Rhinolophus ferrumequinum: one gene and its partners. The protein of the gene in region 4 interacts with the protein of the main gene of each other region in a pairwise test. Links are inferred from orthologs where the notes say so. Each region holds a gene or a part of one and is shown on either strand. Other genes may lie near its edges.

Region 1 (7,859 bases), on a different chromosome or scaffold from region 4:
AGTGGAATTTTTATACAGGAAAGGGGGCGCAGAAAATAACTGCTTTTTGATACACATCTACTCAGGAGGTGATTGTGGGGTACATTTTCTCATTTACTCCTCACATTATCTCTCTTTTGGAGATGGAAAGAGTGAGGCTCAGAGAGGTTGTGTAATTTATCTAAGAACATTCAGCTAGAAAATAGTAGAACTGGATCCAAACCCAGACCTGTTTGACTAAAAAAACACTATTATTATACTAAGAAAATTCAAATTTCTACAAAGACTCCGATGCAACCTAGAAAATATTTATGATAAATGGGAAAGTGAAAATATAAAACTGCTTATTAGATTAAAACCATGTAAAAATATGTTTACAAGTGGACAAAGAGTAAAAGGAAATCATTGGGTAATTACAGTTGACGGTAACATTCTTTAAAAATTATACAGTACAATAAAAGGTATAAAAGGAAATCAATTTAACTGGATAAAACAAATCTGTCACACTCACATTTTTCACTATGTAAAAAGAACAGAAAGGAATACCATACATGGTATGCTAGATATAGAAATTGAAGACTTTCAAAAGAAGACTTTAATTATGATTAATCTGAGCTCCCACATCCTATGAGGTCAATGGTTTGGTTACTATCAATACTCCAAACAACAAAATGCTATCATTAAACATGACCTACCCAAATGTATAATTGGAACTAAAACTTGAAGTTTATACCTATAATTTAACAAAAGGTCACAGCATGGTCACTGAATATAAATAAAACAATTACACAGTTTTTGTATTTTCTTCACCATATTCAGTGACCATGTATTTTATCCTTTATATTTAAGGCTTTTAACTTATTTCCCTATTTAAGAATACCAAAATCTGACTCATATTCATTAGTACACAAACTTGGTTGGTGGAACATGAATTCCAATAATTTCTTAATTTCTTGAAAATCTTAGGTCTGACAAATGAAAAGACATAAAACATCTGAGAAGGAGTTATCTAAAATTGAAATATTTTACAACAAAGACGGTAGTAATCTTATTAGCGCTAAACTTGTTCAGTCACAACATACAGTTACTTGGTTTGTGAAACAATAAGAAGTGTTCAACTTTTTTAAAATGCAAGAATGTTTTAAAAAATAGCAAACTAGAATAATCCTAAATAAGGTACAAGAGTTAAATATAACTATTCCTCCAATTTCTAAGTGGTTACTGATAATTCGTTAGAAAAGCCTACAAAACTACTACGGCCTTTTGTTAAATTACAATTGATAGTAGAATGTATTCACACCTTTAAGAAACAAGCATTCTAAAGGAAATTAGTACTTACTTGATAATCATTTCGCTTAATATTTGGAACATCCATGTTGTGAGTAGAAGGACAAATATCTTCATATTTTTTGCCGGTGAAAATATCAATTCCAACAAGGTGAACCTAACAAAGAAGGGAGAACAGGAAACCTGTTTAATCTTTGCCAAGTATATCACTCATTACATACACAGGAGCACAATACCAACGCTGATTATAGCAGATTATTTCTCCTTTCAAGGTCATCTAATTTTACTTTCTTAAAAAAATGTCGCGGTCATAAAATTGAGAAGCAGTGAACAACTAAATGGTATCATGACATATCAAGACTCAAATCCTATATAGTGCAGTAATTCAATTATAAGAGTGCACAAGAAAAATGAACTTAGGTTCCTTGGAATTATGTTAGAACAGGGTTTCTCATCTGTAAACTGAACAGATCTTCTGACTCACTGGGATTCAGGAAAGTTTCAGTTCCCAATTAATGAAACATTATAAGAGCTCAAGAAGGAAATGCTACCTTTCAGTATTCAAAACGATAGTTGAACACCCAGTAATAGTGGGAAGAAAAAAAAAGTGCTTATTACAAAGTTCTAAGTACAGAAATCTCATGTTCTGTAATGTAATACAAATGATCAAAATCTCAACGTAAAGACAGACCTGGAAGGGCACTTACCTTGGCATGACCGTGTTTTCCAGTTTTGGAAGTTGACATCTCCACTATTTTGCATGGTCGTCCTTTGAGCACCACGAAGCCGTTTTTGCGCAGGGCCGAGCACTGCATAGGGTAAGTGCTGGAAGCCCCAGCATCTCCAGTAGTGAAATCAATTTCATCCGCCATGGTGGGCTGGGGAGATGGTAGCTTTTCGGAGGGAACTACGCAAAAAGTTTGTTTGCTTTTTAACAATGGGCAATCAGGTAACGAAAAATCTCATTTCGGACAGGTTACGTGCCAAGCATCGTGGATCTATTATTTTTGCATCTATAGAAGACCCACCCAAGAACAGTGGGCGCTTTCTAACTCTTGGCCTCTACAAACTTTTCCATCCATTGATGGGAAGGTGGGGAAGGAAGTCGCAGAGAGCGAGCTGGGGGGTGGAGGATACCCGCCCAGGGGGCTCACCAGGCTGGGAGCAGCAAATCCCGGCCCCCATCGTCCCACCGCAGGCGGAGCCGGCGACCTTTCCGCACAGCGCCGCACCGCCCGGCCCTCCGCCGCCGCCCTGATCCCCACTGCGGGGGACCCAGCCCAGGCCGCACGTCCGCGCGAAGGATGGGGATAACATGACCAGGCCAGCAGCACCTGGCCCTCGCGCATCTGGCGCGCACTCCGGTCCCCGGCTGCGGCGTGCTATCCCCGGCCTCTCAGGCGCCCCCTTGTCCTGCAGGCATCCTCGGCCCGGCTCGGCCCCGCACGGGCCTGAGCCCTGGCGAGTGCCGCGCTCGCCTCCGTTCTCCCATCCAGCCTTCCTCTTTCCCTCGTTGGGACTCCCGTCGCCTTTCCCGGCCCTGCCTCGCTCCGGTCCCAACCCCACCACTTTTCCCCCATGTCTTTACCTTTCAGCAAAGAAAGAGCTGCTTTCGCCTGCGCACCCGCGCCGGTCCCCTACAGCGGCGGCGGCGGCAGCGGCAGCGGTGGCGGCCGCGGTAGTTCCAAGAGACAGGGCGGGGCCGCCACACTTTCCACACCCCGGCCTCCCCGCCCTTTCCCGCCCCCACCTCAGTCCCATTTCCGGGATAGGTCCGGCGCGTCACAGGCACCACCCTTCCAGGCTACCATTGGCTACAAGCTTCCTGAGGCCCCGCCTAGTCACGTGAAGAGCGTCCTGGCTACCCCACGTGCTGCGGATTAGTGCACTTCCGGCGCGTGAAGTGCATTTTCTGGAGGCGGGTTGCTGAGGGTAAACTCGCTTGCAAAGAAACTTCCTGCTGCAAACTTTTAGGTTCGTTGTGTTCAAGTTTCAGTGGAAGTTTATGGGAATTGGGCCGCGCGCATGGTGGCCCCTGCCCTCAGGTGCGTGCCAGTTGTTACTTGTAGGTTGTCAAAACTCGAGAGGCAAGAGATCTCAATGGATGCCAGTGTGGCTGTGGAGGAAACTTTGGGTTCCAACTTCTGGTCCATCTTGCAGCCCTCTTTGGTAGTCAAACCCAGCTTGTTCCTCCAGGAAGAGTCCAAGTGCGGTATTTTATTTTCCAGATGCACACTGCATGCTCTGCAGAGAACCCCAGCCACCCATTATGACTCATGGCAGCGACTGCCCCTGGGTGCCCTGCCCACTCCCATGGGTGGGAACTCGTGAGACATTCTTGAACTGAACTAAAAAGCAGTGGTGAAATGACCTAACTCACTTCTCCCTCCGGAAGCTGTTAGGGAGTTGTGGAGGCAAGTGGATGTCTAACTGGTACCACATTGTCCAATTCAGGAAGGTGTTCTGCCAAACTCAGCTCTTTCCTCCTGGCGTTGGCATTCTATCGAGTTACAGATATGTCCATCCTCCTTAGAATGGTTGGGTTATCTGTAGCCAGTAGAGACTTGTATAGGATTAAGGACCAAAGTTTTTTAAAAAAAGATGTGAGCCCTTTTTCATGGTTTCATTTCACAACCCACCACATTTTCCTACCTTGGAGAGGTGACTTCCACACCCCAGTTTATGTGGCCCTGTGATTTCGTATTGCTGTCTCATGAACAGTCCTATTTTTCACATTCCTATGTGGCTCTACAGTTACACAGATATTTCACACATGCTGTGTAACTTAACCTTTGCAATAAACAGGGGAACTCCCATAAACAACTCAGCCTCTAGCTAATAGAAATAGCCGGATTAGAATCCAGTTCGTGAGCCCACTCTGCTTTTCCTTACATTACCTAACCTTTCCTGTCTGTTGTTATTAAGAGTGTTTGCTAATATTTAAAGAGTATTTATGTAAGCGGGTAGTTAATTGTTTTACGTGCATTATTTACTCTTGGCTGTTACTCTCTTTCAACCTCAAGTTTATTAAGTTATTTATGCAAAGTAAAAGTTACCGGTTTTAGTTATATGAATATTGAAGAACATAAACATTTGTGTAAATACCACTATAATCAAGATATAGAATATTTCCTCATTCTAAAAGTTTTCTCCTGCCCTCTTCTGGTCAGTCCCCTCCCTCACGTGCAGCCCATGGCAATCATTAACAACTATTTTATTTACATTTTCAGTTATGGAAAAGGGCAGAGAAAAGTTAAGTAATTTGCTCCAAATCACACAGCTAGCAAGTCAGAAGGCCAACATTGAACTCTAGCCAGTTTGGCTCCATAATCACTGCTTTAACTACCATCATATGCATCATAGTGAATTCACATAAGATTTGGATTTGGAATCAAAATGATCCAGCTTCATTCATTAAATAAATACAGCTGAGGCTAGTGAAGTCACCGGAACACAAAATCGTTACTTCTAGGAGAAATGCAAAGTTAGGTTCCTGTAAGCTTCTGGTCACAACATTTTCATCAACTGACCAATATATTATCTTGTATTATATGTGTTTATTTAATCTATATTGATTCATTAACATTTAACTCACAGCCAACAGCTCTACAATTCATGTCCAAAGGAGGCTTATCTAACACATGTATTTTCTCTGTAAGGCACATCACAGCCTTCTCATTCTTAAAAACACTAGACAGCACTTCAGCACTATGCTCAGGGTCATTTTAAACAGTCAAGTCACCAACAAAAGTCAAAAAAATGTGAAAAAGTGGCACAGGTAGACTGAAAAAAAAACTCGTTTACCATTTGACAGTTGAAAATAGAAGGCAGAGCATGGCCTTGTTTGACCTTAGTCAGGAAAATATGTGTTGAATGACTCAAATCTTCCACTGTTCTGTGCATGTCCACAAATGATTGTGAAAGCATCTCATGTATTGATTTTGGGGTTATACGTAAATTTATCAAGTAGGGAAATTCATAAATATGGGATCCACAAATAAGGAGAATTGACTGTTTTTATTGTAGCACCCTTAGTGCTGAAATTATCATGTTGACCACGACATCCTCTTGTTTTTTATGTACTTGAAGTCTAGTGCAGGATACAAGCTAGCATTTTAGCAGCTATAATACATGCTACTAAAGAAGTAACTGTAGGATGTTGAAAAAGGGGGCTCCTTCTCATCTAGTCTAGGTTTTGTTCAATTGAAGTATGATGCAAGCCACATATAAATTGAGTTTTCTTGTAGCCACATTAAAATGTAAAAAGAGATGAAATTAATTTCAATAATATAGTTTGAAATTTAACTGAGTACATCTAAAATAATATTTCGCATGTACCAGTATAAAAATTATTAATAAGATTATTTTATACTAAGTCTTCAAAGCCTGGTGTAGAGTACATCTCAATTCAGACTAGCCACATTTTAAGGGTTCAGTGACTGTGTGACTGGTGGCTATCATATAGGGCATCACAGGTCTAGAAGATCTTGAGACTGCCTCTCTGGGAGTGATATCTTAATTTGACATCTGAAAAATAAGGAGTAGTAAGCAATGAACAGAGGTTTGGAAAAGGCATTTTAGGTAGAGGGATTAGGGGTACAAAAAACCTATAAGTGACAGAATTGTGACATCATTCTGGACCTCCACTGGTTTAATGTGACTGATAAAGTAGTAAAAAGAGATGGGTGAATCTGGATTTTCTCTCAAGGGCAATAGAAAGATATATAAACCGTATATAGAAGAAAATGACAAGGATGTATTTTTTTAATTTAGAAAGACCATTCTGATCATGATATGGAGAATTTTTTAGGGGGAGAGAATATTGGAAATAGGAAACCAATTAGGAAGAAATAGTTAATGTTGGTGAACAAAGGTGGTGACTGTGAGAACATAGAGAAGACAGATTCAAGAGAATTACAAGGGAAGGTGGAAAGAATGTCCTAAGTAATGTTGGAAGTCGAAATGAGAAGGGAGACACTGGGTGAGAAGAATAGGAAAGCATCAAATTAACGACTGGGGGAATGGTGGTACCATTCATTGAGATAGAAAATATAAGAGAAAAAGCAAGTTTCCATGGCAAGTTGAGTTCACTTTTGGCCAAATCGAGTTTAAGATTCTTGTGGGAGAGAGATATCTTAAATAGAGAAAGATATTTGTGAATCACCAGTATATAGACGATGGTTAAAGCAAAAGCAAGAGACTCTCTTCAGCTTTAAGGACACACACAGACTGAAAGTAACAGGATGAAAAAAGACAATCCATGCAAATGGAAACCAAAAGAAAGCTAGGATAGCTATACATTATCAGCCAAAATATACTTTTATACAAAGACTGTAATAAAAGACAAAGAAAGTCATATAATGATATAGGGGTCAATCCAACAAATGGATATAACATTATAAATATTTATGTACCTAATATAGGAGCACCTAAATATATAAAGCAAATATTGATAGACCTAAATGATACCACAAAAATGCAAAGGATCAGAAGAGACTCCATGAACAATTATATGCCAACCAACTGGACAACCTGAAGAAATGGATAAATTGATAGAAATATACAACTTACCAAGACTGAATCATGAATAGAAAAATCTAAACAGACCTATTACTACTAAGCTGACTGAATCAGTACTCAAAACCTCCCAACAAAGAAAATTTGGCTTCACTAGTGAATTGTACCAAACATTTAAATAATTAATACCAGTTCTTCTCAAACTTTCCCCCAAAATTGAAGAGGAAAGATCATTTCTAAACTTATATTATGAGGATAGCATTACCCTGATGCTATATATCAAACAAGGACACTACAAAAAAAAAAGAAAATTACAGGTCAGTATCTCTGATGAACATAGATGCAAAAATTTTCAACAAAATATTAGCAAACCAATTCAATAGTACATGAAAAGGATCGTATACTGTCATGGAGTGGAATTTATTCCAGGAAATGCAAGGATGGTTCAATATCTGCAAATCAATTACTGTGATACACCACTTTAACAATGAATGATAAAAATTATATGATCATCTCAATAGATGCAGAAAAAGCATTTGACAAAGTTCAACATACATCCATGATAAAAAAAAAAAAACCCTCTCAACAAACTGTGTATAGAGGGCCTCAATATAATAAAGGCCCTATATGACAAGCCCACAGTTAACTTCATACTCAATAGTGGAAAGCTGCAAGTTTTTCCTTTAAGATCAGTAATAAGATAAGGATGCCTACTCTGACTGCTTTTATTCAATATAGTCTTGGAGGTACTAACCAGAGAAATTAGGCAAGAAAAAGAAATAACAGCACCCAAATTGGAAAAGAAGAAGTAAAATCGTCTCTATTTGCAGATGGCATTACATTACATATAGAAACCCTAAAGACTCCACCAAAAAATCTGTTAGACTTCATCAATGAATTTAGTGAAGTTGCAAGATATATCAATATACAAAAACAGTTTTGTTTCTATACATTAACAATGATGAATCAGAAAGAAAAACTAAGAAAACAGTCTTATTTACAATTGCATCAAAAAGAATAAAATACGTAGGAATAAATGTAATCAAGGTGAAAGACCTATACACCAAAACTATAAG
Region 2 (7,343 bases), on a different chromosome or scaffold from region 4:
CTTCCTCTCCCTCCCCCATTCCTCACAGCCGCTTGGTGTCCTCAGCTCCGTGGGCCCAGGTGCCCACCTTTCCCTGGGACTGAGCCCAACCATTCCCGCTCCCGGGCCGGTGGGAACCACCTCCCATTCATGGTCCCTGCCAGCCAGAGCTCTTTCAGTTCCAAGGGACACAACCCAGGTGACTTCAAGAGGGGAAATGTTTATTGGCTCACGTAACTAAGAAGCCTAAGGCATGAAGGCTTCAGGCAAGACTGGGTTCAGGTGTTCAGATGTCATCAGACGACTGTGCCTCTGCGCCAACTGGTTCTACTGTGCTGGCTTTGTTCTCAGTCAGAATTGCCCCTCAGGGTTGGAAGCAGCTTCCAGCAGCACCCGGCTGACATTCCGCCAGCTTTGCTACACTAGCATGGCCGCCATCACCCTCACCTGGACTCCTCAGAGGGTTCCCTGCTGCTCTCCCAGCCACGGGGAAGCCAGCGATCATGTCAAAACCCCTTCCCACTGGTCCCATCTAAAGTCCCAGTGGTCATGACCGGCCTGTACCACTCACTGGGGCCAGAGCGAGTGTGGTGGGTGATGTGATTGGCCAGGCTGGTGATGTTCCCATCCCTCCACCCCAGGAAGTGGGGTCTGCTGCACACACTGCAGGTGGAGTACAGAAAAGGTGATTCCCCAAAAGAAGGCAGAGGTACTATATCCAGAGGGGGAGCACACGAGAGGCAGACAGGACCCACATGCCCCAGCTCCAGCTGCCCTGGGCCCTTCCACACCTGCCAGCAGCCTCCTAATTCACAGAAGTCAGATATCTTGGGTGAAAATTGAATTCTGCAGTCCTCCCACCTAAACCTCCTCACCGCCCTCTCCCTCACCAGGTTGGGTTTGCCTTGGGCACCCCCCACCTCACTCCATTCTCTCCCCTCCTATCCCACATCCCCTCCCTCACTACAAGCTTGCATCTGCCCTCTTAAAACACAAAAACAGAAACTCCCTGCTCCTCACTGAGCTACTGCTCCCTCTCCACTTCACAGCTCTGAGCGGTGTTGCTTCAGCTCACCTCAGTTTCTCACCTCCAGCTCTCCCTGCCTCATCAACAACCAGCAAGCCTCTGAGGCAGCTGTGCGGAAGGCTTCCCTAAAGCCTGCAATGTGTCCTGGTGTGTGACAACTGGCCTGTCCCTTCTCCCAGAGCCCCCTGGGTGGGCACATCCAGTGGCTCCTGGGGGTTCTGGGTCTGGCTGCTCTTCAGTCTCCTCTGATGGGCTGCCCCTCTCTCCCGAGGTGAAGTCACCTACTCTCAAAGTTCACACATCTGTCTCTAGGCCCGTGTCCAAGTGTCCACTCCACACCTCTCCTCAGCGTCCTCACAGGCACCCCAAATTCATCACAGTCAAACTTGTCATCTTCAGGCCTACTCCCGCTCTACCTCATGTCCCCCAGCTGGAAAAGGCCCCTGCCCGAGCTGCTGCAGAAAGAAACCTGAGAGCCCTTGAGGGTTCCCTCCCTCTCTGCCCTGTCCAGTCAACCATCAGCACTCAAGTTGACCCACTGCTTTCCATGCCTCCTGCCCAGCCTCAAGCCACTGCTCCCTGAAGCACACGTCTGCCTCCGTGGACACTGCAGCTTCAGGGTCCGCTCAGAAATGGCCATGGACTGACGAACTGTGTCACTGCCCCGATCACAAGCTGGCCTTCGAGACTCTCCACAACCATCCCACCTACCTCTGCTCCTGCTGCCCCTTCCTCTACCCTTCATGGCACCAGGCTCAGAGCTCTCCAGTTCCTATTACTCGTCCTGTCTGTCCCTTAGTTGCAGCCCCCAGTGGACAAAAAGGTCTCCGTCAGAGGACAAGAGGCTGTTCAGAGAACAGTAGGAACCTGTCCAGGGTCACACAGCACAATGAGATAGGTTGTCCCCCAGCACAGCGGCACCTGCTGGCTCAGGTCCTACACCACTCTGTCCACCTTCCTTCTCTCAGCACCCCTGGTCCTGCGCTGGCACACCCGTGGCCTCCAGCCCCTCCTTTCACTCAGCAGCTGCCCGGCCCACCCCTGCTCCTGCCCCAGCTCAGTGTGAGGAATTCAGGTGGAATGGTGGGAAGGCCGCCACAAAGCCCTAGACAGAGGCTGGGACAGACACTGATGTTCCCTTTTGTTATTATTTTTTTAATAAATTTAAGAACAGCTCTACCTTCTCTCCTCCCCCCAGAACAACTAAAACCAACTAAAAGGGGGTGTGGCCTGGGGGGCAGAGGGCGCTAGGAGTCATAATCTTCTTCATCCTCTGCGTCAGGTGCGGAGGGAACCGGAGGTGCTGGGGGCAGAGGCAGAGTCGAGGTGAAGGGCATGAAAGGTGTTGGGGGGCTGCAGGGCAGAAAGCAGGAGGGGCAATCAGGTCACTCTCCGGGCCCATTCCGACCCCCTGAGCCCCACTCCGCCCTCCACACAGACAGCATGGAGCCCCCCACCCTCTGTACCAAATGGGAGCCAAGCCCAGAGAAGGGAAGGGCCCGAGCAGGTCACAAAGGCCCTGCCCAGGCCCCATCCACTGTGGGGAAGGGACTTTCTGAGAGTACAGTCTCCTGTCTTTAAGCCCTCCTCAGTTCTTCCCTTCCCATCCCCCAAATCTGCCACAAACAACAGAAGCAAGTGACCAGGAAGGACAAGTCAGCCTTGGGGAGTCTGCTGGCCCCCTCCTGGAGCCACTGAGCTGCTTACCTCTGAAAGTGGGAAGGGGGGTGGCTGGCCTGGGGTGGAGCCTGCGCTGTCTCCTCTTCCCCATCAGTGTCACTGTCTTCAGACTCATCCTGGGAGCAAGGCAGGGGTCAGGGGTGACAAGAAAGGCATGGGACCATCACTGAAACCCCAGACCTCTCGGAGTGGCAGGGACAGGATGCTGACCTCCATCACCCCAATTTGAAAACAAAGAAATCAGGGTACAGTGAAGTCACAGGTGAGGGTGGGCCCAGGCCTCCAGCCGGCTCGAAGAGGCAGGACAGAGGGCTGGGGGCTTCACTCACCTCCTGCTCAGAGTCCGTCCCTGACAGCTTCTTGTCCTTGCCTTTGTTTCCCATCCCACCATTCTTCCGGCTGCTGCTGCCTGGCTTCCGGCCCCTTTGGGAAGGTATAATCCATCTGCTCAGAGGTGTCCCTGCTCCTTCGCCACCCCCCAACCCCCTCCATCCCTGGTGGCCTTGGCCTTCCAGCCTGGACACTCGGCCCTAACTCCCCACCTGCGGGCACCCTTGTCCCCGTCCATGTGGTTGTCTTCCCCATCCCCCTGCATGTCAGGCACAGATGCCACCAGGTCCTTTAAGAAGTCAAACTGCTGCTCCAGCTCGATGCACTGCTTCCTGAAAGAGGTGAGGCGGGGATGGCATCTGGCAGGGCCCCAGATGTCTGCTCTCTCAGCAAGGGTCAGCAAGAAGCTCTGGATATTAGGAGAATGGAGTCTGGAAAACCTCTACCACCCGACTTCCTCCCTTTGCTGGAACACCCAGCCTTTCCTCTCCAAGTTCGAACCACCAGTCTCTAAGGCCTTGCTGGTCTCCCAGTAGCCTCCCACCTCCCCATCAGGACATAGGCTCTCTTAAGTGTGTGAACGCCTGGGACAGGGCCCCACTGGGCTCTTCCAGCTCGCAGCCACTCACAGGTGGGATGTGGTCATGGTCTTGGCGTTTCGGGACTGGGTCACCTGGCAGGCCTTCTTCAACAGCGACTCCAGGAAGAGCTCAAGCGCCCGGGCTCAGAGTCGTCAAGGAGAACGCGGGAGTGGGGTCCCAGCCCTCACAAGGCGACCCCCGGCTGCCTCCTTCCCCCACGTCCCTCAACCCGGCCAGCCCCCGACAGGATACAGATGATGACAGGCACAGCCGCCGCCACCTTCCCAATCTCTTCGTCCGTCTGCATGATCTTCTTGATCCGCGCCTGGGGAGGAGGCAGAGAGGTCGGACCCCGTCGCCTCAGTCCCAGAATGGGGTACTGGGGAGAGCGAGAGGGGTATCCCGGGAGAAAGGGGGCGGGGGGCAACAACGCAAGGAGGGCACAGAAGGGGGCGGGGCGTCCGGGTCCCGGGGCACGGCGATGCGCCCGCCCCCCAGGCAGGCCTGGGCCCGAGCCTCCCGGGAGCTGGGCCCTCTCCTGCCGGGCCCAGCCACATGCTCACCGGCGGGAACCGCGCGTTGTACTTCTTTTTCTTGCTCGGCATCTCCGGGACTCTCTCGCCGCGCCGGGCCCAGCGCCGCCGCCTGCAGCCTCCCGGCCCCGGGGCCTGCTCGCCACCCGCCCGTCGAGGTTCCCCCGGGTCCTGGTGCCGCCCGCTCCGCCCCCGCCGCTCCCCACGGGGTCCTAGCGCCGCCGGTAGGCAGCCTCTCGCAGGGTCCGAGTGCCCGCCCCTCGGAACCTCCTGGGCTGTGCGCGTCGGTCCGGGACCCGACCGCCACTCCCGCCCGCCCCCAGGCCAGAAGAGCGAACGTTAGCCCCGCCCCGCCGCAGGCCCGCCCCTCCTGGGTTTCTTGATGGCCTCGCCCCTGGGGTCAGCCCCGCCCAAGTCCCGCCCCCTCAGTGGCCGGCCCCGCCCCGCGGCGCGGCTGCTCTGGCTCGGGGGCCCCGCCCCGTGCCGCGCTTGTCTATCTATAAAGTTGTTGTTGAGGCGGCGGGGCGCTAAGATGGCGGCGGCGGCGGCAGCCGTGGCGGGGGCGGGGCGCGGCGGCGCGGAGCCCCGGCAGGAGCGGAGCCAGGCGCGGGGCTGGGTCGGTGCCGAACGCAGCGAAGGCCGAAGGTGACGGCGGGGCGGCGGGAGGGGGCAGAGTCGGGCGGGAGCCAAGCTCTTGCGATGGGCGCTAATGGCGGCGGGCGCGGCGGGGCCAGAGGCTGGCCCTCCCGCTGGTTCTAACAAGCCGGGGTTCGAGTCCGGGCACCGCCCCATTGGCCTCGGACCCGTCACTGCCTTCTCTGGTCCTCAGTGTCCTTATTTTTTAAGTGGGCCAGATAACGCCCGCCTGGGAGGACTTGCCCTGCAGGGCCTGCCTCGGTGCTGAGCGAACGGGGGCTCCTGCGCTTCCCTGCATTAAATGCCAGCGCCCAGGATACCTGCCAGTCACTGGCAGGGCCAGGAGGTGTAGCTGGGTCAGTTGCACCCACACTTGAATTTACAATTAGGCCCTGTCGCTCACTATAGGTGTGACCTTGGGTGAGTCCCTTCTCTCTGAGCTTGTTTCTTGTCTGTAAGTCAGGAAGAGTAGAAATAACATGAGCAATAACACTCAGTCGTGCTTATTCCACCTCAGGCATTTAATTGTCAACAGCGCATTGAGCCAGGAACAGTTGTTATCATTGTTAAGATGAGGCAACTGAGGCACGAGGACTTTAAATCCTGACCAAGGCCACACAGTTTAGTCTAATGCTTGGCACCCGCTAGGGCCCAGCAAGCTGCAAATCTGTCACGAACTTTGTTTCCCTCACAGCAGGATGGAGTCAGGTGAGGAGCTGGAGGAGGAGGACTCTCCAGGTGGCCGTGAGGATGGCTTCACTGCTGAGCATCTGGCTGCAGAGGCCATGGCAGCTGACATGGACCCCTGGTTGGTGTTTGACGCCCGCACCACACCTGCCTCTGAGCTAGATGCCTGGTTGGCCAAGTACCCGCCATCCCAAGTTACTCGCTACGGGGACCCTAGCTCACCCAACTCTGAGCCCGTGGGCTGGATTGCAGCGTATGGGCAGGGCTACATCCCCAACTCGGGTGATGTGCAGGGCCTGCAGGCAGCCTGGGAAGCCCTGCAGACCAGCGGGCGGCCCGTCACGCCAGGTACCCTGCGCCAGCTGGCCATCACCCACCACGTGCTCTCGGGAAAGTGGCTGATGCACCTGGCACCTGGCTTCAAGCTGGACCATGCCTGGGCTGGCATTGCTCGGGCTGTGGTCGAGGGCCGGCTTCAGGTGGCCAAGGTGAGCCCACGGGCCAGGGAGGGTGGGCGCCAGGTCATCTGTGTTTATACAGACGACTTCACGGACCGCTTGGGTGTGCTGGAGGCAGATGCAGCCATCCGTGCAGCAGGCATTAAGTGCCTGCTCACCTACAAGCCTGATGTCTACACCTACCTGGGCATCTACCGGGCCAACCGCTGGCATCTCTGCCCCACTCTCTATGAGAGCCGTTTCCAGCTGGGGGGCAATGCTCGTGGCTCCCGTGTGCTGGACCGTGCCAACAATGTGGAACTGACCTAGTGGGGCCAAGTTGGGGAGACCACCCTCTGTACCCCCTGCTAGGGATGGATCCTCCCGTCTTTCTCCTCCTCCTCGTCCCAAGGAGGCCATGTCCCACAGCTCTAAGACTAGGTCACTCGGGAACTGCTTGCATCTTCGATCCCCTTGAACTTTTGCCCTCTGTTCAGGGCTGAGTCAAGTCCCCACCTGCTGGAGGTTCTGGCTCTCTTAGGACCGGACCCTCAGCCTCTCTCTTCGATGCTGCTCTGCTCTGCCATCCAGGACCATAGGCTGGGTACAGACACCCAGGAGAGAGCCTGCCTTGGCCACCCTTATCCCTGGCTGTACCTCCCCCTCCTCCTGCATTCTCCTCTTCCTCACAAAAGAGAAAACTTAGTGCTTCCAGTCCCTCTCCTTGGAGCCTTCACAGCCCGGGGGGCAGAGGCCCTGCAGGCCTGAGCATGCCTTTTTTTTGGGGGGAGGGTAGGGGGGGCCACTCAGCCCCTGGCAGAAAGAGGGGATGCCAGGGCCATGAACATGGTGTCTGCTCCTCCCTGCCACCTCACAGCCTGCACTACCTTCCCTTCACTATCTTGCCATGTGCCTGCTCCTGGCATTTCAATAAAACCCAGCTTGGGTCTGTGTGTTGAGTGTTTTTTAAAATACCATGTTGTTGGTTACCTGCTTTGGTTGCTGGAGAGAGGCAGGGCCAGGAGAGACTGCCTCTCCGCCCTGACTGGGCCCTCCTAACTGCCCCCAGTAATAAGATACACCTTACTGCCAAGGCTGGGAATCTCTCTTGAGAGCCTCTGCAAAGCCAGCACTGCTTCGCCTTCATCCCAAGAATCAGAATCATCTTCTCAGTGATTTCCCATAAATCCAGGGGTTTGGCCCAGCAAAGTCCAAGGGGCCACTACTAACCCACAGGGTGTATTTGTGCTTATAAGAGAAAGGTATCCTCTTGGTCCTGGCAGTTCCTATGTCAAAGCACATGCATGGTCTGGTGAGTGAGCAGATGGGCTGGATTTCAGCAACGTAGGGTGGACATCCTTGTGCAGCAAACAATCTGCACAACCATAAGTAACCGTGGAATCCCAGCTGGCTATACTCACCTCTCCACCATCCTGGCCATCACAGGGCCCAC
Region 3 (7,680 bases), on a different chromosome or scaffold from region 4:
TTGAGGCTCAGCGGAGATTTTGTGCCACGCCGATTTGAAGGGGAGTTTAGATTCTAACACAAAATGGGCTCATTCCAGAGCTTGCGTTCTTTACCGTTCTGTGGCACTGTCTCCCCAAATCTTCCACACCTTCTCTTGAGAAACCTCTGAACCTGCCAGCCTTACCTCGCAGCCAGCGCAGGAGGAAGTAGTCATCAGCTTTGGGCATGGTCGGCAGCAGGTCCTGGAGGTTACCCCGGAACTGGGGGGTGGGGGTGGGGAAGATGATTGTCAGAGGGCTCCCACGATCCCCCGGCCTCCAATTCCATCCCCGGCTCGTCCCACCCTCAGTCAGCCAGTCAGCCCTGCCCAGGGACCCTGCAGGTGAGGACGGCACAGTTAGCAGCAGCCGCCTGGGCCATTTTGCCACCTGGGAATGGGCCACCCCCTCCCCCCCCAGCCCACCATGGTAGGAAGAGTTGAGTCCTTCTCAAACTTTGGAGGATCTCTGCCCCCCCAAGACCATCATTCTATAGGTCTGAGGTGGGGCCCTGCCATCCCTATTTTTGCCCAGATCTCTGGCGAATTTCATGCAGGCCAACCAGAGCATTTGGGGAATATTGCCCCTGATACTGCATCTTGAGGGCCTGGATTTGGAAGCAAGTTACTTAACCTCTCTGAACCTCAGTTTCCTCATCTGCGAAGTGGGAATAATGATAAACTTGTGCCAATCAAAAGAACTTGGGCAGGTAAAGCACTTAGCGTCAGGCCTGGCTTGCAGCAGGTGCCACATAAATGTGGGCACTCAGCAAAAGTGGACTGCCCAGAGTCCTGGACAGTGGAATCTTTGTGGAAACAAAAGCAAAGGTCAGCAGGTAGGGACTGAAAGAGAGGTCAGGGCTGCCTCATCGGGGCCCTGTTGGAGCTGGGGGAAGGAGGGCGGCTGATCTGCTGGGGGTAACTTTTGCTACTGGCAGAGTTTGGGGAAGCCGCTAGGAATTTGGGTTTGGAACCGAGGCTCAGGTTTGACATAGAGAGGAGACCCCACTCCCGTAAGGATGAAGGGAACGAACGGTGAGGCCTGGGGGACTGGGTGTGCTGGGGAAATCTGTGACTGAGAATTTGGAATTAGAAACAGGTGCCAGCGGAGCCATGGGAGCTGTCTTGATAGCCACCCATCAAACAAGCTTTAGCACCATAATGATGTTTAAAATAAGAATGTATTCACGTATTGCTCACACAATTAAAAATAAATAATCAACTTAAACATCTGCCGTGTTAACAACACGAGCAACGACAACTGCTGTAACAATCCCCAGTTGGGACAGACACCTGGAATGGAGCTTCTTTCACATTGACCAGCTGTAACCTCTGTGCTCCTGAGGAAGAGTTTTTTCTGGGGGGGCAAGGGGGAGGGGACGGACACTACCTGAGAAACAATAACTGCACCACTCAGCCCCTCCAGAGGACCAGATTCCCTCCTTTGAACCTGAAGCAGGAGGGGCAGAGGTCATATCCCTGCTTTGCAGATGAAGGAATTGAGGCTGGGGAGGAGGGGTCGAAGGGGTGGGGGGTCTTCCCCAGGAACAGAGTGAGGAAGTTCCAAGGCCAGGAGGAGTCCACGTCTTCCAATCTCGAGGCCACTCCACCCTTGGAGCACATGTCAATCAGCTAAGAGAAAGCCACTAAGCAGGTGCTGGGAAGGGCCTGGAGCAACGTGGAGGAAAAACTCATCTTAGGATGAGGCCATGTGGAGAAAGGAGCATCTGGCAGTGTGACCACAGGAGGTCAAGACTTAGGAAAAAGCGGGAAGGAAATGCTCCCAGGACTAGACCTCTGGGACTGTCAGTGGCCTTTCCCCCTTCCTACTTTTCTCTTTTTCCCTAATTTTAAAAATAGCATTCATTTCTTTTAAATAATGGTAAAAAGAAGAATAAACTCTTTTTACATTGTTTAAAGCTCTTTGGCCCACAGGCACCTCCATCATAATTCACCCCCAAAGGCCAGGTGTCCAGTCCCTCCTAGGAGCCTAGTATCTGGGGCATCTCTGAGGCCACTGCCAGTGGGGAGGGGAGGGTTCACCAGGGGACCTTCTGTCCTTCACCTGAGGACGCCTCCTCATCGGGGGACCCTCTGCTTCTGGAACCTTCTCTTTTACCTGGGAATTCACCAGGGACCCCATCATTCATCTGAGACCCTTCTCTCGTTCACCAGGAATTCACTCAGGTCCCCCCACCCCTCTTCACCAGGGGTTCTCATTCCTCCCTGGAGCACCCTTAGGTTTTCCCCAGGTTAGGAGCCTAAAAAGAACTCATTGTCCAGAAGTCTGAAGCTGCCCTTTCACAGGTCCAAAGTGTGAGGCAGGGCTGTGACCCACCCCCATCCCCCACCCTGAAGTCCCAATTTACTGTCCTGGCCATCTGCAAACCGAATTAACGCTATGGCACCTAAGACTTGGCTACGCTCGCCCTTCCCCATGGCCCTGACACTTCTAGGTGTGGCCTTCAGTACTGTCTTGAAATCACCAAAAACTTCTCCATCTCCCTTTAACGAAAACATTGACAACAGGCCCAAAGAGAAACCAAACAAATGTGTTGCAATCTCGGCAGGAGATCTGGGAGTCTGTCTGCCCAAAGCTTCTCAGAAGCCGGATGGATGGCAGCGCCAGGTCACCCACCCACCTCTCCCCACAACCAGAGAACAAGGGCCTGGAGCGGGCAGGAGTGAAAAGCTGGATTTGCCCAGAGAAGGACTCCTGCCGGGTTTCTATACACAGCTGCCACAGCAACTGCACACAGGCAGTCTCCAGGGTCCCTCCTCAGTCGTCAGATAGAGGCTCCAGCCCAGGTGGGCAGCGTCTGGCTGCTCGGCCCCTCCCCAAGCCTCCCCACCACGAAGCCCCTCACCCTGGCCAGCGCCTCCTGCTGCTGGGAGCTCAGGTCCCCGACTCTGCCGCTCATGGTGCCCGTGGGTGCCTGGCTTTGCCACTCGTGGTGCTCATGGGCTCCTGGTTTTGCCGGGTACGTCAAATGTTTGTCCCGCCCCGATGGGAGAGGGCTAGCTTCACCCCGCCCTGTCCCGCCGGGCTCTCCTCCCCTCTGGGGTTTTTGCCAAGGCCAGTCGCCAAGACGCACCCTACCTGGGGCAAGGAGGTGCCACTTTCCCTCCCAGAGCACAGATTTCAGTTGGGGGAAGCAGGCGCCCCCACCCCGCATCCCAGGGCAAGTTTCAGGGAACACCAAGATCCCCTTCCAGCAAAATGGAGGAACTTTTTATAAACTTGGTTCCACCTTCTAGGTGGTCCTCAGGACTTTATTCCCAAGGGGCCCCCAACCTTCCTCCCCTGACTTTGAACACAGGCTGCACCCTGTTAGTGTTCACTAACTGATAGGAGAGCCCTTATGTGCAAGAGGATTCCAGGCTTCAAGATGGTCTGGAGGATTAGATAAGATAATCTGCCATGGTTCTGCCTGGCATTGCATACCCGGCAAGTGTTGGCTGGTAGGAATATTGTTTCATAATCATTGCTTTTGAGGCTGTCACTGGAGCAGCAAGCCACAGGGGTAGAGACCCAGGAATGGCTCCCTTGTGAGCTACTGGGCAGGAGCCACAGCCCAAAGGCCAGGGAGAGGGAGGTGGCAGTGGGGAAGCCCTGGGTGGAGTGATGGAGGGGTTGGGAGGCCAAAGGGTGTTGGGTGGCTGACACAGGTGTCCAGGATGGCATCCAAGAGTCAGGCAAAGGTCACTGGGGAAGGTGAGAAAACTCAAATTGGTAGGGCAGGAATTTTCCAGAGAGAGGAGCAAATGGGAGGTAAAGGTAAACAGGGAGGTAAATCAGGCCACCAGAACCTTTCCCCTCTGCCCTCCCTTGGGCTCAAACGAAGTTCTAAGCCAGCGCTGACCAGCCTGGTGGCCACAAGCCACATGTTGCTATTGAGCTTTGGGAATTGGCTTGTCACTAGGGAAAATGGAGAAGTGCTGTGAGTGTAAAATCCGCACCAAATTTCAAAGGCCTAATACCCCAAAAATTAAATAGATTCCATTCATTCATATCTTATATTAATGACATGTTGAAATGATAATGTTTCGGGGTATATTGGGTCAATAAGATATATTGTTAAAATGAATTTCACCTGTTTCTTTTACTTTTTTATAAATTAGAATTTCTCAAATTAATAAACTTTATTTTTGGGGCAGTTTTAGATTCACAGCAAAATTGAGCAGAAAGCATAGAGAGCTCTCATATACCCCCCACCCCCACACACAGCCTGCCCCACTGTGGACCACACACAGCAGAGGGCTACATTTGTTAGAACTCAAGAACTACGTCATTGTCACCCAAAGCCCATAGTTTACGGTAGGTTCAGTCCTGGTGTTGTACATTCTATGGGTTTGTACAACTGCATAATGACATGTGTTCACCATTGTGGTATCTTGATGTATCATACAGAATAGTGCCACTACCCTAAAAATTTTCTGTGCTCTAATCTTTTAATTTTTAAAAATGTAGATACCAGGAAAGTTTAAATTATGGGTGTGACTCAAATTTGCAGCTTGCATTATATTTCATTTGGACAGTGCTGTCCTAGACTTTAAATCTGAGCGAGAGAGAGAGAGAGAGAGAGAGAGAGAGAGAGAGAGAGAGAGAGAGAGAGAGAGAGAAAATACAAAAAGCTAAAAGAAAGTAAAAGTGACACCACATCTCTGGAAGGGCATGATCTGTACCTAAAAGCAATGACAGAAATCACAAAGGGACAATCAGTTGTAAGGCATTAAGTCAGTCATTGCTGACGTGAAGTTGGGAAAAATAAAATATACAAAACCGGATATCTTTTAAAGAACGTGTGCAAATTGATAAGAAAAATAGTAAGACACTAAGAAATGGACAAAAGACTCAAAACACCAATTACCAGAAGAGGAATGCAATGAAGCGGATAAATGCTCAACTTCCAGATCATCAAAGAAATGTGTATATAAATAATAAGATACTTTTTTCCTCCACCAAATTATTATAGCAACAAAACAAACATACACAAAGCCTTTAAAAAAACAATAGAGTTAGTTAGCCAGAAGTTGGTGAAATGGAGACATTCATACATTGCTGGCAGGACTAGAAATTGGTTCAGTTTTTCTAGAAAACTATTTGACAATATGCATTAGGATCCTTCAGTAGTTTACCACTTTGCCCAATCATCCTAACTAACAGAAAATATTTTCAGCTTAATGTTGTTTGTGCATTATTAACAGGAAAATTGGAAATATTTTTTCAGGAAACCACGATGCTTAATGTGGTTGATAAAGAGTTTATAAAACACATGGAAAAAAATCGAAGGGAACAATTTGGAAAAGATAGGACAACATTACATATGCCGTATGCTTCTGAAATGTAAAACAAAATCCAGTCAATAAAAGAAGGGCCACACGAGAAAAGAAGTTTGTCCCCAACTTTCTCCAGTGGAGTAGGAAAAGTGATATTTTTAAAATGCCACACGTCACAAGGTAACTTTATTTAACCAGCACTTAAAGGTATTTTCTATGGGCCAGGCCCTGGTCTAAGGATTTTGTAAATATTAGCTCAGTGCTGTCCAACAGCTAGGTAGTGGGAGCCACACAGGTAACTTGAAATTCTCCAGCAGACACATAAAAATTTTTAATTTGAATAATATGTTTTATTTAATATAATGTACCCAAAATATCATTTCAAAATGTGATCAATGTGACCAATAAATGAGATAAATTAAGAATTCATAGTGAGATATCTTGCATTCTTTTTATTTTTGTATCAGCTCTTTGAAATCCAGTGTGCGTGTAGCATACTAGCACATTTCAATTCCAACTAGCCACATTTCAAATGCTCAAATAGCCACATGTGGTGTTATGGGTTGAATTGTGTCCCTGCCCCACATTCAGATGTTGAAGTCCTAAACCCCAGCACTTAAGAATGTGGCCTTACTTGGAAACAGGGTCTTTGCAGAAGTAATTAGTTAAGATAAGGTCAAAGTGGAATAAGCTGGGCCTCTAATCCAATATGACTGGTGTCCTTATTAAAGGGGGAAATTTGGAAACACACACGCACAGGGAGAATGTTATGTGAAGATGAAGGCAGAGTTTGAGGTGATGCTTCTACAAGCCCAGGAACACCAAAGATTGCCAGCAAATCATCAGAACCTAGGGGGGAGGCGCGGAACAAATTTTTCCTCATCGCCCTTAGAAAGGGCAATGCCTGCTGACACCTTGGTCTTGGACTGTTAGCCTCCCGAACAATGAGGGAATAACATTCTGTAGTTGGAGCCACTCAGTCTGGGGTATCTTATTAAGCAGTCCTAGCAAACTAATACAGGTGGTCAATGTTTGCCATATCAGTCAGTGCAGTGTTAGCTCATTTAATGTTTTGGACACATTCTGAGGGAGGCACAATTATTATCCCTGTTTTTGGACCAGGAATCTGAAGTTAAGGAGCCTCCTGAGGTCTCACAGTCAGCAAGCACAAAGCCAGGACTGGAATCCAGGCAGGGTGGTGCACGGCCAGCTGCTCACTATGTCATGTCTTTCTGCCTGCCCAGCTCCGTGTTCCAGGTCACGTGGTTCCTGAGGTCCCTGTTGGTCCAACACAGAGCAGATGTCCTCCCCTGAGCCTGCAGTACACTGCCGCTTGCTCACACTTCAGTTATTGCTGTGTGTGGGGGACTTTCGTTCTAACCACCTGGGTGCCAGGGGTTTGGCAGACGACTCCTCTCTTCCATGGTGTGCCTGGCTCCTCCTGCAATCCAAAAAGTGGCGCATTCTTTTGGTGCCCCCTGGCGTGTGAGCTGAGAAGCTGGACTGCAGTGATGTGTTGCCATGGTACATAACACTAAGTTCACACCTCTTGCCCACTCACTGCAGTGTCTCTCCCTCCCATCTTTCAGGTGCCCCCAAAACTCCTGGCATCGCTCCATGGCCAGAGGTGTCCGGCTTGCAGTCCTAATTCAAGCCTATAAGCTGCCAGCTAAAGGAAACTCTGTGGGGTGAATGGCATCTCCATTATTGGGGTGCAGTTAAGCTTTGCAGGAGCCCCTGCCCACACTGTCCGTACATTATGGCTAAATCAGTCCCATCCCGCAGACGTCTAGGATGGACAGATGCCACTGGATGCTCCTCCAAATACATAGGATTTGGAGAGGTTGGGAGGAAGTGTCTGCTTGACACAGATGCCAAGGGCAGGGTGGCCTCATGCTTAGGCCTGCCTAGGTGGTAGAGATTAGGCTCCAGGGCAGCTTTTGGAGGGTTTCCTTGGCTCCCTCCATTAACTCAGGGTGACCCCAGGGAAAGGAAGGACCTGGTGTGGCCACATCCCCCCTATATTCTGCTCTCTAGGAAGAGAGATGGTCACAAGGGCCTGGGAGAGAGGAGTGGACAAGGGGAGACTGACCCATGACCCCACAGACCTAGCTAGGACCACGGGAAAAGGGGGGTTTGAGGTCTGGGGCCACAGCTGAATTTCTCTTTCTTCCTCTATGAAAGCCAGGAGGTCCCTGACCTTCCCGTGCCACAGAACATCAGGTGGGGGGTTTGTGGAGAGATCTATCTCCCCTTGTTGCTCCCTCCTACCACAGGGCCTTTGCACATGCTATTCCCTGTGACTTAAACACCATTCCCTCACCTTCTCCTTCTGCACTGCCTAGTTAGTGCATCTTTACCATCTCTGATCCCCCACTAAAA
Region 4 (7,414 bases):
TCATGTACTGCATTTCCAAAACAGCCTTTATGTTTACATGTGTAGTCTTCTACATTAAAAAAAAAAGAAGTCATTTGCTTTAGTTATCAATTCCAGCTTCCAGCTCTATCATTAAAGATTGAAGTTGCAACATACTTACATTCATATTTTCCCCCCTTACTCAAGGGAAACAGTTCTCTTGAAATTCATACAGCAGACAAAGAGTTGGTAAGTAGTGTGCGGTTTACAAAAACAATTTCTTAGTGTACTTCCTACTCCGTGACAAAGCAGAACTATACTAAAGAAAACTAGGAATAAAAATTATCTAAATGTTAAAACGTATTTTACCAAAGACAGTACTATTTATTAGTAAATAGAGCCAGGGGCACACAAGAACATTTTACACTTTCTACTGGAACAATGAGAAGCTTTAAATTCTGATATAAAAGAGCTAATTTTACTTAAAATGTACAAGAGTAATGATTGCCTAACTATGCTATGCATACCCTAGATGGGTCTGGGTACATTTTTCTTCACAATGCCTATTTTAATTCATCATGTCAAAAGACTGAAACCAAGGTGTAATTTTAAAAAAGCAATAAAGACAGCTTAATAGAACCTAAACTGGGAAATCCTGAATAATCTGACAGCTTACCTGAACAAAATTTAGAAATATGTATCAAAGTACCAGTTACTCATGGTTCTTATAAATTTGCTTATGAGATTATGATGTTACTTTTTACGTTATGCAGATCATATATTCAACTACACACACATATTTACATATGACATCCGGGGAGAAATGTAGAAATGGTCTTAAAATCTTTGTAATCAATAAAAATACTTTTTGAGTTTTAATACTACCTTACTACAAACAGAATCTAAACTAGATAATGATAAACTAATTTAGCACTTTTTTCCCCTGTGATTCTTTTGGTTAAATTACTGTTTCAAAACAGGATAGGAATTGATAATTTAGTCACTCTTCCTCTAAGGTCTTTAAAATTAATTAAGGAAAGTACACCCCGACTTCTTTTTAAAAATTTGCTTAGCAGTTTTCAAACAATTGAATTATAATTTAAATAACATGTTATGATTACAACTTTCCATTCCTTATTCCCCCCCCCCCGTTCAATTGAGGGTCCTCATAACATCACAAAAATATAGTGTCATTAAATAATTTTCAATTGTATCACAGTTTTAAATGATGTAGGTCTTACAATACCTATGTAAACATGGTTACTTCTTTTCTCTCTTTTGAAAGAATTGGGAGTATTACATTCATGCCATGTATTAACAAAGTTCGCTTAAATTGCCAGCAGGCTGACCTTTTTCTTTTATTTATAATACTCGCTATTCTTTACTATTTTTATACAAAATTTCTTTCTGATAACCAATAAATTAATCAAATATTTTAAGTCATCTTTGCAGTTTTAATCTAAACGGCCTTTGAATTATCTGAAAGTTTGGGGGTCACTGAAGTGGGTTAAGAGAAAGTTGAAATATTTTAAACTCCACTTGTATGCTCACATGAAAACCACAGACAAACTGAAATCAAATGTCGTGTGAACTACCCCAATTTCCTTTTTAGCCTACAGCAGTAGCTATGACATTTTTCTGTTCAACCCCTTTAAAAAGTCCTCTAAGCTTTCTACTTCCTCTTCTCTGCTAGACATCAACCTTCTGCTGAGGGTCACTGTACCAGGGAGTTGGGAGGATGCGGGTCAAGCATAAACAAGGCCCCCCCTCTTCAACTTGTCAGTACAGCGTTCAGGAGTAACTTGTAAGCCTCCGTGACCGCTCACGCTGCTCCCTCTGCCGGGAAAGCGCCCTCGGAACCCGGCCAGAATCCTGTAAAGGATTCTTCACTTACTTCCCTTCGGTCACAGGCTGACCTAAACCATAGTTGTATATTCCGGACCGGTATGAGACTCACCCCCTTTCCTCTGAACTCTTTCTTGGTAAATTCGTTTCCCCTCAAAGCAAGAGATTCACGCATTTATTAACTGAAAATAAACATTTACACAAGTGATAGGAAATTCTTTTACTCCCTACCCATATTTTGAAGCACAAGTATTCTAAAATTCCTCTTTCCCCCTTCTTTCCAACAAAGGAGGAAAAAAACAAAACCAAAGCAACATGACTTCTGCTCCGTAAGTTAGAACGTGCGCACTGTGCAGTAAAATCTATCCACCGTGTTGAAGCAACATTTCCACTTAAGACCTGTTAAAACACCACCGGTGACTTTTAAAGCCACACGTTTTGTACAACTGTCAGCACAACAGCGATCACCTCTTGGTACTTGATGAAATTAAACTAAAAAACTCAGAGCTTTTCAGAGGTCTGAAGGTTCCTCATTCCTGTTGTAAAACATAAAACCACCATTTCGATGTAAACCAATTTTTAAATACGCGAACTCCTAGTCCTCCATTTAGATTCTCATTACTTCCCTAGTCCTAAAACAGAGTCGTTGGGAATTTCTAAGGTTCCGGCTACTATAATGGCATCAAATTACAGAGCGTGACTTTGATTTCGCAGGCAAACCCCCGAACCACCTTACTTGTTACAAGGTTGACAATTTGCCAGACCGGGCAATTTTAGAGAGAACGCGCCACAATCAAAACTGAGCGGCAAAGCCCCGGGACGAGCCCCAGGTTCCCCCCAGCTCGGGCACCGCCGGTGGCGCCCAGGACACTCACCCGAAGCCATGACTCCGTTCACCGCGCCGCTCCGCTCCACTCCGAGCCTCTGGACCGGAGGCCGCCGCTGTCAGTCAGCCCGCCAGTCAGTCCTCTGCCGGCGGGACCCCCTGTCCCACTGACCACCGTCGGGGCCTCCTCCTCCTTTCCGCCCTGCTTTGGTTTGCGGCTCACACCTTCCCACCCCCTTAATTCTCGCGCCCCTGCTGTCCCCGGCCTCGCCCGTCCAGGGTGCTGGAGCCAAGGGTAGGGGGGCGGAGCGCAGCGAGAGCCCAGCACCTCAGGGCCAGAGAGACCCGCGCCTTAGCGGGAGGGGGATTTCCCGCAGCTGACGTAGGCTCCTCACCGCCGCCCTCTCTGGGGGCGGGAGGGCGGAGGGGCGGGGCGGCTAGCGCGCAACCGCACACGACGGCCCGCGCTCCGCCCCGCCCGTACCCCGCCCCCGCTACCACCCCGGGTGCAGCAGTGGGCTCGGGACCCCGTCGGGGGAGCTGGGGCGCGGGATCTTCGGGTATGCAGGGAACACGGGGAGCCGAGAAGTGACGGCCCCGAGCGTGCGAAAGCCGCCAGCTCCTTAGAAATCCCCCTCCTCCGGGCTGTTCTTCGGCGCGTGGTTTAAAGTTCAGAAGCGGGTAGGAGGGTGCGGTGACGTCGAGAGGGCCGGCTGCCGGGGAGTACTTGGGGCGGGCCGGCCGGCGAAGTGGGGCCAGCCCTCCCTGGCTGGAGCAGGGGGGCGGGGCGGTACTAAGGCCCGGGATTTTCGATGGGTGGTTCCCCCTCTTCCCTATTTCGCACATGCAAATCTCCGCCTCCGCACAGGCGGGCGATGCAGCGCTACTGTCGCGGAGTGCCCTAGAGGGGAAGTGCGGAAGTGGCTGTCGCCAGTATTCGTGTGTAATGCATGCATTTGCATACGGGGACCCCCGCAGTCTGATTTTCCCTCTTTACATCTAAATTGCGAGGACTCAGTTAACTTTACGGATTTTACCTACTAACTTTTTAAACTCCTAAGGTCCGCACTGCGAGTTCGTTGTCTCATTTAATGCACTGCTCAAGATTAGTGGGGTCGACTCTATCGTGGGATTTGATAGAAATACCCATGAGGCGGGGGAAGGAACGAACTGTTTAGTATGTTAAAGGAATCGAGTATTACTGTGTTTCCTTTATGTGCTAAGAACCTTGTATGTATCAGTTGATTTACCTCATTTATGACATAGTACCCTCATTTTATAGATGAGGTAATCGTGGTTCAGAGAAGTAGTACTTCAGAGAAATTAAGTTCATACTTCAGAATACTGGTAAAAAGAAAAGCACAGTTTAAACCCAGAGTCTCACTCCAAAGCTCCACGCTCTTCCCACTACCCCTTGCAGTATGAAATGACGAAGAGTGGGGAACGTGAGCCTGCTATACAAGTGCTGAAGTTGGAGGACACAGTGGGGAGAGGAAAGAAAAAAACACAAAAATTTCCTACGAACCCCAAAATATCCTTTCCACAAAATGCAGAAAAGTAGAAAAGAATGAAAGGATTGAATAAGCATTAAACCATACTGTGATGCACTGAAGAGATTGCAAAGACAAAAAAGAAATCTCACTTGGTAAGGAGGATAGATTTTATTCCAGTTGCACACAGAAAGCTATGAAGAGTTTTAAGTGTGTGATTGACATTACATTTTGAGATGTTTACTCTGAGTGATGTGTTAAACTGTTAGTATACACTAACTAGGGGCAAGGGTGAATGAAGGCAAAGCAGTTAAGAGGTTGTTGCAGTAGTCTGAGAAGTAAAAGTGGTTTCAACTAGTGTTTTTGCGGAGGAGATGGTGAAACGAGGTTAGATTTAGTAAGATATTTTGGTAACAGAACCAGATGGCCTTGGTAGATGGGAGGGGAGAAAAGGAATCAGGGAAACTCACATTTTTGGTCTGAGCAACCAGGTAAAAAGGAAGGCTGGTGAAGAAAAACATTTGAGAAGGAAAATCAGGAGTTGTGTTTTGGATACCTTACATTACAGATGCTTATTAGACATCCTGAAGTAGACAGTTGAATATGCAGAACTCAAGCTAAGGGGAATCAGGGCTAGAAATAAAGATTGGGGAGTCAGTAGCATTTCATTTACGATAGTACTACCTAAAGAAATGGTGCAGATAGAGAAAAAATTAAAAAGAGCCCTTGACCCTCCAAGTCGAGAACTAGTAGAAAAGAAAGAGCTGCCAGTGAAGTAGAAAAACCAATAGACTAGTGTCCCAGAAGGTTCAAAAGGAATGGAAGTCAGCTGTGTTAAATGATGCTGAGAGAATGAAAAAGATGACAATAAAGAAATGACCTTGGGGCGGTAGGTTGGCTCTGGGTTAGAGCGCAGTGCTCATAACTTCAAGTCACTGGTTCAGTTCCCACATGGGCCAGTGAGCTGTGCCCTCCACAACTAGAGTGAAAACAGCAGCATGACTTGGAGCTGATGGGTCCTAGAAAAACACAGTTCCCCAATATTCCCCAATAAAAATTAAAAAAAGGAAAAAAAGAAATGACCTTGGCTTTGGCAAGATGAAGGTCGTTAATGACCTTGATAAGAGCCATGTCAGTGGAATGGTGGGGATGAGGGCTGAATGGGAGGAAGTTGAGAAGAGAATGATGGAAACGATGAGTATAGACAACTCTTCAAAGAGTGTTAAAGGAAATAGAAATGGGGCATTAGCTGGAAGGCGATGTGGCGTTATTTTAGGCTAAGGGCTATCACTGACAACTACAGTCTCAACCAGTTAACATAATTAAAGTTTATCATTTGAGTCACAGTCCAGTGTGAGTTGAGTGACTTTCTCTTCCAGGAGTAACCCAGGGACCGAGGTGACTTCAATCTTGTAGCACCAAAATGTGGCCTTCAAAGTCACGTTAGAAAAGGAAAGAGAGAATGAGAGATTTTTATGGGCCAGGCCTGAAAGTGAAATACGTTACTTCTGGTTGCAGTCTACTTTCCATGTGGCCTCCCCAAGGGGACTGAGAAATATAATTTGAGAAACGTAATTTAGCTGTGTGCTCTGGAGAAGAGAAGAAAATGATTATCAGCACTAGCAAGCTCTGGAACTGAAGTTTATTTTGTTTGTAGAGGGTGATATTAAGGCATATTTGTATAACAGTGAGACTGACTCAGTAGTGAAGGAGAAATGGATGATAAAAGAAAGGAAGGGGTTGATGAGTAAGGAAGAAAGGATGAAATCTAGAGCACAGGTATAGGGTTGGCAGTAGATTGGAATGGAGACACTTCTGTGGTAACAAGAAGGAAGACAGAGCAGATGCAGAGAACATGGTACTTGATGGTATGAAAATGAGGTAGTCAAACTGCCTTTTTTTTTTTTATAGTGAAGTATGAGGTCAAGTTCAACCGAGAGTGAAAGGCAACGAGGGAATAGGAGATTCGAGGAAGAGGAGAAGCTGAAAATGTGGTCTTGAGAGTGGAATTTTATAAGGTATATCTGGCTGTACTGAATGTCCATTTGAAATTTGTGGTCATAAATGTAATTCAGACCAGTAAACAGTATTTCTTATATGGTTTTTAACCCAAGGGTTATCGATGCGTAATAGTATGAAAAAGAAGACAAAGAACTAGGAAAATTGAAGTCTGAATGGGAATGCTGTGTTTCCCCGAAAATAAGACCGAGTCTTATATTAATTTTTGCTCCAAGAGATGCATTAGGGCTTATGTTCAGCGGATGTCATCCTGAAAAATCATGCTAGGGCTTATTTTCTGGTTAGGTCTTATTTTCGGGGAAACATGGGATGAGGGAGAGATGCATAATACCTCTCAACCCACACACACTCGTTGGATAATCTCATCCATTCTCATGATTTTACCCATGGTCCCAGGACCATATATCCAGCCTGAATCTTTCCCTGGGCTTTAGACCTACATATCTAATTGTCTGCTGAACACCTCCAAGGGGAGACTCATAGGCATCCCAAACTCAACCTACTCAACATCTCTTTCCAAGTTTACTCTTACTCCCATATTCCTTATGCCACCATCCACTGATATACAGGTTAGAAAATCGGGAGCCATCGTTGACTCTCTCTCTCACCAACTCCCACCAACCCCACAACATCCAGCCACCAAGTCCTACTGATTTTATAATCAAATATGAATCCATTTCTTTTCCATCTTGATTGCCACTGTCCTTGTTCAAATCTTCATCATCTTTCACCTTAACTACGGGAATGGTCTCTTATTATGCCTGTCTACACTTTTGTCCCCTTCGAAAGCCATTCAAACCTATTTAAACCCTTTGCTGATTGAGTTCTCTGTATGAATGACTATACCATTCTTGTGCTTTAAAACCATCCATTAGCCTTAGATCCAAACTCTTGGACGTGGCTGACAAGTTCCTCCATAATCTGGCCTCTGCCTGTTTCTTCAGCCTTATCTTCTGCACTCCACGTCTTCACTTCATATGAGGTTGGGTGATTAAGTTCACGAACTCATCCTAGAAAAAGTGCTACATGCCTCATTGCTGAATATCACTATGTCACCTTCGAAGTACTCCCCTTGGGAAGCTCTGCACCCACACTAGCACCTAAGTGCACCCTTAAAAGCAATCTTGGAACTCTTTTTCTGGAATGGCCATCAGAGCTGTCGTCATTACCCTTGATGTCCTGAATATCATCAAAATGTCTTCCTTTCAATATTTCCTTTATCTTTGGGTAAAGAAAGAAGTCATTGGGGGCCAGATCAGGTGAGTAGGGAGGGTTT

Evidence for each region. The genes of interacting proteins can lie anywhere in the genome.
Region 1: the proteins of REL (region 4) and EIF5A2 interact in binary tests that used the Homo sapiens proteins (3 or more experiments, as listed by UniProt). The two-hybrid records come from large-scale screens. The link is inferred for Rhinolophus ferrumequinum from reciprocal best matches to the Homo sapiens genes REL and EIF5A2.
Region 2: the proteins of REL (region 4) and C11H11orf68 interact in binary tests that used the Homo sapiens proteins (3 or more experiments, as listed by UniProt). The two-hybrid records come from large-scale screens. The link is inferred for Rhinolophus ferrumequinum from reciprocal best matches to the Homo sapiens genes REL and C11orf68.
Region 3: the proteins of REL (region 4) and SEC14-like protein 4 interact in binary tests that used the Homo sapiens proteins (3 or more experiments, as listed by UniProt). The two-hybrid records come from large-scale screens. The link is inferred for Rhinolophus ferrumequinum from reciprocal best matches to the Homo sapiens genes REL and SEC14L4.

What each region holds. Positions count from the first base shown.
Region 1 is NC_046285.1:71,554,430-71,562,288, reverse strand, and holds the start of EIF5A2 (eukaryotic translation initiation factor 5A-2), read right to left. Parts: upstream 3,001-7,859; 5' UTR 2,855-3,000; intron 2,174-2,854; 5' UTR 2,139-2,173; coding exon 1,974-2,138; intron 1,424-1,973; coding exon 1,319-1,423; intron 1-1,318. UniProt on the Homo sapiens protein: Translation factor that promotes translation elongation and termination, particularly upon ribosome stalling at specific amino acid sequence contexts.
Region 2 is NC_046294.1:5,915,857-5,923,199, forward strand, and holds C11H11orf68 (UPF0696 protein C11orf68 homolog), read left to right. Parts: upstream 1-4,630; 5' UTR 4,631-4,662; coding exon 4,663-4,775; intron 4,776-5,460; coding exon 5,461-6,220; 3' UTR 6,221-6,843; downstream 6,844-7,343. Other genes in the region: DRAP1 (dr1-associated corepressor), read right to left, coding at 2,254-2,359, 2,714-2,802, 3,016-3,109, 3,229-3,348, 3,646-3,739, 3,850-3,922, 4,161-4,202.
Region 3 is NC_046308.1:19,658,091-19,665,770, forward strand, and holds the start of SEC14-like protein 4, read right to left. Parts: upstream 3,001-7,680; 5' UTR 2,940-3,000; coding exon 2,886-2,939; intron 242-2,885; coding exon 166-241; intron 1-165. UniProt on the Homo sapiens protein: Probable hydrophobic ligand-binding protein; may play a role in the transport of hydrophobic ligands like tocopherol, squalene and phospholipids.
Region 4 is NC_046296.1:28,081,307-28,088,720, forward strand, and holds the start of REL (proto-oncogene c-Rel), read right to left. Parts: upstream 3,012-7,414; 5' UTR 2,689-3,011; coding exon 2,679-2,688; intron 1-2,678. UniProt on the Homo sapiens protein: Proto-oncogene that may play a role in differentiation and lymphopoiesis.